Linked DNA regions of Arabidopsis thaliana. The protein of the gene in region 1 interacts with the protein of each later gene in a biochemical or structural test. Each region holds a gene or a part of one and is shown in the gene's direction. Other genes may lie near its edges.

Evidence for each region. The genes of interacting proteins can lie anywhere in the genome.
Region 2: of the proteins of MPK5 (region 1) and AT5G65590, one has a biochemical effect on the other in vitro, tested with the Arabidopsis thaliana proteins (one large-scale study listed by BioGRID).

The regions. Positions count from the first base shown.
Region 1 is NC_003075.7:6,890,155-6,894,806, forward strand, and holds MPK5 (MAP kinase 5), read left to right. Parts: upstream 1-1,771; 5' UTR 1,772-1,988; coding exon 1,989-2,161; intron 2,162-2,415; coding exon 2,416-2,545; intron 2,546-2,615; coding exon 2,616-2,753; intron 2,754-2,829; coding exon 2,830-3,162; intron 3,163-3,258; coding exon 3,259-3,442; intron 3,443-3,518; coding exon 3,519-3,691; 3' UTR 3,692-4,053; downstream 4,054-4,652. Other genes in the region: AT4G11340 (Disease resistance protein (TIR-NBS-LRR class) family), read right to left, coding at 4,054-4,314, 4,485-4,557.
Region 2 is NC_003076.8:26,211,237-26,215,383, reverse strand, and holds AT5G65590 (Dof-type zinc finger DNA-binding family protein), read left to right. Parts: upstream 1-2,150; 5' UTR 2,151-2,349; coding exon 2,350-3,300; 3' UTR 3,301-3,638; downstream 3,639-4,147. UniProt on the Arabidopsis thaliana protein: Transcription factor that binds specifically to a 5'-AA[AG]G-3' consensus core sequence.

The DNA.
Region 1 (4,652 bases):
CAAAAATTACACAATCTTTTCCCACGGAACAAAGATTATTTATTAGTATCCATATACATACAAATATACAATACACTCAAGCCACTCATATTTCGTACTTGATCAAGATATTTTCCCCCGGTAAAATCCAATTTAGAATTGTACAACATATATATTGGAAGTTCCGTTGTGTCATACCGTCACACTAATAATACAGCATACCAATAATAGAGCGCAAACGTTTCACATTGAATAGTTCACCACATATCAACTTGAGTAAATTATTATGCTTAGAGTTGTTGTCTTTTTGTTTTTTTATTTTTTTTGAATATCTGGAAATTCAAACTCAAAGACCTTACATTTTCTAGAGGCGGGATCCACACCAGATTAAATTCATATCCTTTGGGAAAGAAATCTCTTCCAACATGCCTCAAACCCAGTATTTCTAACTGAGAGATTTACCTACATAATTCAACAATCATGTCTATTATGTTTTCAATTTAGGATATCTAAAAATATTGTGAAGATAAACGAAACAAAACTTGAGGGAAAAAAAACAGTCACGTGAGTCATGAGTTATAAAGCATGGATAATGTTGGAGATCTAATTAATCTAATTGAATGCCACATCAAATTAAGCCAATCAGTGGAGAAGATCAATAATAAAAGTGAATTGGATCTGCCACTACACTTTTAGCATGAATATGGCTAAAAGAGATTGGTATTGGTAATGGTATCGTTGTCGGAGATTGTCGTACCAATTAAATAACATGTAATTATTGGATATATATTATATTGTGTCGGCCTAGTCATATTTGATGTGTAAGTGCGAGTGATTTGAGTTAGATATGGGGTATTTTACGAGGAAAATATTGAACAATTTAGGGTATTTTAAGGGTTGTAGTTTGAGCATCACAAGTTAATTATATTTAGGTTCTGCGTAAATTTGACTCAAAAGATTAAGTTATCAAAAGAAACCTCGTATAATATGATCCATATTAATTTTCTTTTTTTTATATAGAAAAGTTGAAGATTATGAGTAAATTGGTAAACTCGCGATATTCCAGAGTTCAAAACGTAATTTTAATGACAATTTGGTGAATAGTATAAATTAATATATTAAGTAAAAGATAACATTCTATTCGATATTGGTTTAATATGTCAACTGTTATATGTACATATAAGATGTTACTGATATATTAAGTGAATAATATGATATTCACCAAAAAAAATTGTATAATGAATGTGACTTTGAGTTGAAAGTTTGAAAACGAAGAGACTATAACATTTGAAGGAATCTATGGAATACGGGTGTGGAACCAATAGTGGAGGCCCTCTTCATAAACCGAGTTTCCCGAGATCCAAATTGTGCTGATGGAGCGGTTTCTAACGTTCTTGTCGATAATACTTGCAAGCTTGGCCGAAGGAACAGAAGAGTTACCATGACGTCTACCATTACGCTCGCACCACAAAGTATGAATTGATTATATGGAATACATACCTTAGAATGAAAGTATGTAGTTTTGGATGAGAATCATCAAGTAGAAGAGGAGAGATTAAACTCCAACTTGTATTGTATCTCAGTATCTGTTGCGAAGAATTCCTTTAGTGAGAGATGTGTATTGATAGGTGAAAAGGAAAAGGTCTCTTACTTTCATATTACGTGGGCCTCATAACATAGACCAGAGCTGATAGCATACCTCTCTCTATATTAAATAGATGGGCCAGGCCCAAACGTTTACCCATCTGTATTTATTACAAAGTACACGTGGCTGATGGACATGTGACGATACGTTTTGACCTATTCAAAATATTCAAACTAATGAAAAAGAGTCGTTGTCCTCTGACGCGTCTCTCTCTATCTCCTTAGATTTTCAAAGTTTTCAACATTCAACAAAATCATTATTTTAATTTTGCAGAGACGAATCGAATCGATCTCATCTCCAAAAATCTTGTATTCAAAGTTTGATTTTCTGGGTTTCTTCTGTATTATCTCGATATTTGAAAAAAATGGCGAAGGAAATTGAATCAGCGACAGATTTAGGTGATACTAACATCAAAGGAGTTCTTGTTCATGGAGGAAGATATTTTCAATACAATGTTTATGGAAACTTGTTTGAAGTTTCTAATAAGTATGTTCCTCCTATTCGACCTATTGGTAGAGGAGCTTACGGTTTTGTCTGGTACAACTTCTACCCTTTTGTGTATTTCATATTCTTGTTTCTTACTTAGTATTTGTAACCCTAATTAGATAAAGAACTAAGTATTGGTATAGGTTTTTGAATTAGGGTTGCTTGCAAAATTTGATCTTTTTTGGATTTAAGAAAGGTTCTGTCTTCAAAATCATAGTTTAAATTGAATGAATTTGATGATTTGTTTGTGTTTGTGTTTATGTATAAGCAAAATGATTCATGAGAGTATTGGTTTATTGTTATAGTGCTGCAGTAGATTCGGAGACACACGAAGAGATTGCGATAAAGAAGATAGGTAAAGCCTTTGATAATAAAGTAGATGCAAAGAGAACATTGAGAGAGATTAAGCTACTTCGTCATTTAGAACACGAGAACGTAAGTTTTGTACTCTATTTTCGCGGTAAACGATTAGAGTTTCTAGCTAATGTGGTCTTGACTTGTACAGGTTGTTGTTATAAAAGATATCATTAGACCACCAAAGAAGGAAGATTTCGTTGATGTTTATATAGTTTTTGAGTTAATGGATACTGATCTTCATCAGATTATTCGATCAAACCAATCTTTGAATGATGATCATTGTCAGGTACGGTTTTTACTCTGCTATATTTGATACTATGGTTGATTTAATCACAAGTGATTCACTTTTTCTTCTTTTGCAGTACTTCTTGTATCAGATTCTACGAGGACTCAAATATATTCATTCAGCAAATGTTTTACATCGTGACCTTAAGCCGAGTAATTTGCTTTTGAATTCGAATTGCGATCTTAAGATTACTGACTTTGGTTTGGCAAGGACTACATCAGAAACAGAGTATATGACAGAGTATGTTGTAACACGATGGTACAGAGCACCAGAGCTGCTTCTTAATAGTTCTGAGTATACATCTGCTATTGATGTATGGTCTGTTGGTTGCATATTTGCTGAGATTATGACAAGGGAACCGCTTTTCCCGGGGAAGGATTACGTTCATCAGCTTAAACTTATCACTGAGGTATGATGTTCTGTTTTAGAAAGATCTGTACAAATGTTGGAAACTTTTATTTGTGTGTTGCAATGTGTTTATGAGTTGTTTCATGTGGTTGAGTAGTTGATAGGATCACCTGATGGAGCGAGTCTAGAGTTTCTCAGAAGCGCGAACGCGAGAAAATATGTTAAGGAGCTACCTAAGTTCCCAAGACAAAACTTTTCAGCTAGGTTTCCTAGTATGAATTCTACAGCTATCGATCTACTAGAGAAAATGCTCGTGTTTGATCCAGTAAAACGTATCACGGGTATGATGAGAAAAATTGTACATAGCGAGATTGGCATATGGGTGATGAATCCTTGATCATACTCTTTGTTTTGCAGTTGAGGAAGCACTGTGTTATCCTTACTTGTCAGCTCTTCACGACCTTAACGACGAGCCTGTTTGTTCCAACCATTTCAGTTTCCATTTTGAGGATCCGTCTTCCACTGAAGAAGAGATAAAGGAGCTTGTGTGGCTCGAATCTGTGAAGTTCAATCCTCTGCCGAGCATTTAAAACATTATTTAAGAAGGGGAAAGCAAGTTTTATACTCTGACATTGAGCAAAACAAATTAGTAGTGTTTAAGCTCTGTTTCTCCTTCATCTCATGTTGATCGTTGTTTAAGCTATTTCACTAGTTAAAAAAGCTGTCTTGCAACTCAAGAAATTGTTCTATAAGGATCCTTGTAACCCAAGACATATCTTTAGTAGTTATGTCCATTCTTATTATCAGGATGTCTTAGATAGTGTTCTGTTTCTTCTACATATCATGTTGTTATCTTGTAACTCAAGAAATTAAATTAAAAAGCTATCTTTGTTTAGACTTGTATCATGTCACTTGGATTGTACTCGTAGAAAATGGGAAAAACTCGATGTGTTTATTCATCTCCAGCAGTTTCTTCAAGCACTACGTCGAGCTCTTGCAAATTTTGGTAATGAACACTAGTTCGATCCTTCACTCTCGAAACTCGACAAAAAAGTCTATCAACTTCGTCTCTTGACTCTATTCGAGTGATATTTTCATCATCTAGAAGGACGTTGATCCCACTCCTTCGTAACGCGGCTCTAAGAAGGCTGGAGAACTTGTTGCGGATCTCTCGACTCCGAAAACTTATGTAAACTTGATGTTGCGGCGTAATCTAGAGATTTTACAATGATTAGCCACTAGATTTATACAATAATTATATATATATAATTAACATACAGTATGTTCTTTTGTACACACCTTTTTTTTTTCTTTGTCATTGGCAATATTTCAATTTCTCTAATTCTAGAACTACATAATTTTTGATTTAATAGGATTACGTACGTGTGATGAGGAAACGTTGTCAAGCATTGCCTTAACCTTCTCGACGATTTCATTTACGAAGGTTGCTTGGTTGCTTCCAAAACAAAGTAAGAAAGAAAACAAATCATATAAGTATGATAACAATGTCGCAAATGGAAGAAACTACTGTTAAATGACCTCATTTTTAGT
Region 2 (4,147 bases), on another chromosome or scaffold:
ATATAAAAAAATGTATAACAATCAGTGAAAATGTTTTTATTTCTTTTGTAAATTAAAATAGTGGCAAATTACGGCTGGAATAAATGGGAACAGCACGTAAACCAGGTGGATATGCTTCTACGACCTTTGATAACGATATAACATTTGACCAATCTTTGATGAAACTGCGTCTTTTACCTTAAGTAATTTCCTTTGTCATGTCTCTTTCTCGCTTCAACAACCAATTACAGATAGATATAACATTAAATTTAAACGCCGTAATAAATTTTGTACTGCTGTTACAAAAATATTATCAAATATAGAAAAATGAGATCCGAGTTCGAGAGTGACAACGGTGACGAAAATATGTATGTTGTAATATGCTACTTAGAAATTTTTTTAGTGTCAAGTATTATTACGAATTAAATTTTCCAGCTGAAAATGGTTAAACTTAAAATTATCCATCCGTTATAATGTTACAAGATTTTCAGCAATAAACTTAAGTTGAAAAAATTATAAAATCGCTAGTATATGCTTTATTTTATATAAGTAATTTATAAAATCGGTGTAACTTGTATACTTGTGGATGATCGGTTTAGTCTCACGAGAGATCCATTCCTCGAGGGCTCTCACATGTTTCCCATTTTGTCTTCTCCGTTCTCTCGTGTTTCTTCACAGATGGAGACGTTTAATATATCAATCATCAAAACACAATCTCCTCTCTTTTTCTATTTTTGGATTTATTAATTTTTATATTATATATACACTTGTCTGTATTGGCCTCATATCTAAAAACCAATTGAATCTGATTTTGATGCCAGTTCAATTTGAACATATGTCAATCACTTTGGCTTTTAACTGAAAACTTAAATTTCATGTACATGTATTAGCGACACAAACAATGTTTTTAGAAATGGGTTTGGTTACAAAAAGATGTCAGAGAGTTAAGCAAACGTTACTTTCTTCAGAGTTAAACCCTACCCTCTTCTTAATAAGGCTTTTCTAGATTACAAGATTCGTAATCCCAAATTAATGTCCGTAAAATATAACTTCAAAAATGTTGCTTAAGTGTATAAAATTACTATATATTGTATGTTTCAGTCTAATTACTATTCTGAATGACGATTTGGACTCACATAAATCCAAAAATTTCAGAGAGTATACGTATATGCACAATGAACTATGCCTGCGTAGTACATATTAATACTTATCCATTTATTCGATTTCTTGGCAAACCCCCCCCCCCCCCCCCCCCAATAACTTACATGCACAAGAGATATCCAGAAGAGAAAATAAAATATATATGTTTCGTAAATTTTGTTCCAATAGTTTTGGTTTCCTTAATAGAGTTGCATACGCTTGACAGCTATATAAGTATATAGGTGTATGTAAAGGAAGAAAACATTATTTGTGACTGTAAATATGTTAATATTGTCTACGTATAAAGATGGTGCAGTGCACACTTCACACATATAAAAAAAAAACGTTACCTCAACAATAGAAACAAGACACATAACAAATTCTATCCGATTTGTTCCGATCAATTGCACAGTTATATATGTTCTTCTGTCTTTTCTGCCACTTCATGTCTCTCTCTCATCTTCTCCTTTTGTCTCCATTATCTCTCACTCATGCCTCTCTCTCTCTCTATTGACATTCATAAGTACAATGTACATATACAGACATTAACTACAACGAGATTTTATGAAGAATTTAATCCAATGTAATAAAAGAACACCACAGTTTTGATAAACATGGCGGTTTATGATTATTCAAGTCTATGACTCTGTAAAGGAACAAGAACACGAAGACCACAGTGTACAACACAAATAATATTGTGATTCTCCTTGTGAACACTTATTATATACGTATTTTTACTATATTGAATATTATGTATAACAACTGTTATGTAAACTATTTCTGCAATTAAATTTTACTAATCATCAAAAAAGAAAAAAAAAAAAATTACTAATCATCAACATTTGAAAAACTAATAACAAAACACTAAATAAAAGTTAATGTATTTAGTCATTAAACACTGTTTTATTTTCTTAGGTAATCAAAGTCTCTCCAACTTTTAAAAGACAAATCACTTTTTTTTAATAATATACTTCAAATTAATAAAATATCTATGTAGAATTATGCAAAACAAACTTTTTTACACACAAACCCGACAATACATATATATCCCCATATTCTCACATATATACAATAATTTTGTATATATAAAATATAAACCATACGAAACCCTTTTACCGACTGTTCTCTCTCTCCTCTCCTACTTTACTTATTTCATTCAAAGCAAGAAATCGAAAAAGGACCCCAAACTTTTTTCTTCCTTCATCTTTCTCTCCTCCCATCATCATCACCATGTCCTCCCATACCAATCTCCCCTCTCCCAAACCAGTTCCTAAACCAGATCACCGTATCTCCGGTACATCCCAAACCAAGAAACCACCGTCTTCCTCCGTAGCTCAAGACCAACAAAACCTAAAATGCCCTCGTTGCAACTCTCCAAACACAAAGTTCTGTTACTACAACAACTACAGTCTCTCTCAACCTCGTCACTTCTGCAAATCTTGTCGCCGTTACTGGACACGTGGCGGTGCTCTAAGAAACGTCCCCATCGGTGGTGGTTGCCGGAAAACCAAAAAATCTATCAAACCTAATTCCTCCATGAACACACTTCCTTCGTCTTCTTCCTCTCAGAGGTTCTTCTCATCAATCATGGAAGATTCATCCAAATTCTTCCCTCCTCCGACAACAATGGATTTTCAGCTGGCCGGATTATCTCTCAACAAAATGAACGATCTTCAACTTTTGAATAACCAAGAAGTTCTTGATCTTAGGCCCATGATGTCCTCGGGCCGAGAAAACACACCCGTTGATGTCGGGTCGGGTTTATCCCTAATGGGTTTTGGAGATTTCAACAACAACCATTCACCGACGGGGTTCACAACCGCCGGAGCAAGCGACGGAAACTTAGCTTCTTCTATAGAGACTTTGAGTTGTTTAAACCAAGATTTACACTGGAGGCTTCAGCAACAGAGGATGGCGATGCTTTTTGGTAATTCTAAGGAAGAAACTGTTGTCGTCGAGAGGCCACAACCTATTCTTTATCGGAATCTTGAGATCGTAAACTCATCATCGCCGTCGTCGCCGACGAAGAAAGGAGATAATCAGACAGAGTGGTATTTTGGTAATAACAGTGATAATGAAGGAGTGATTAGTAATAATGCTAATACAGGAGGAGGAGGAAGTGAATGGAACAATGGAATTCAAGCTTGGACTGATCTTAATCATTATAATGCATTGCCTTGAATCTTGGTAAGTTTAAGAAACTATATAATCTATAATTTCATATAATCTATTTGCTATGTGTTGTGATGTAATGCCAAAACTATTTATGTTTGTAGTTTTTTTTTTTTTTTGTATTCTTTTTGTTGTCGTTGTTGGTTACTATTCTAGTATTTTAAGTTTCAATTTGTAAACAAAAAAACAAAATTGGGGGAGATATTCAAGAATGGAGAGAGATACTTACATTATATACTGGTGATTTGTCTGTATTGAATTGAAAGGTGGAACAGAACTTACTGTGTTTAATTATCGGAAAGCTCTTGGTTTGGTGATGAAATGTTCACTTAATGACTTATTGGATGGTTGTTATCCCAAGGTTAATTATAATTTAAAATTTTCTTCAAAAAGTCATTTTCAGTAAACAGATAATATGTCTCCTTGGGATTGGTCATAGTACCTTTAAATAAGTCTAATTATACAGACATTGAGCCAAGCAGAATAACTGACCATCCACATCATATGTCATACCCAAGTGAAAAAATAAAAACTCTGTGCATTATTCGTTAAAACATCGATATTTGTGCTGTATATTGAACAATATAGATTGATGTTACATTAAAAATATGTCAGTGAAGTGTGGTCTAGTTAATATGTATGAGCATATAGCATCTTAGTAGACACTGAATTATGTCGAGTCTATGTGAAACATAGAGATCAGGCCTTAGCCTTCTGTTGCAGTCTCTCGTTAGCCCCATCCTTAGCTTCTCTCTACATATATATGAACACGCATATATACGTATATGCATGTTTGTTTATGTAGGTATGTGTACTATGTAGTATGTACATCTTATCACTGATCTCTAGATCGCAA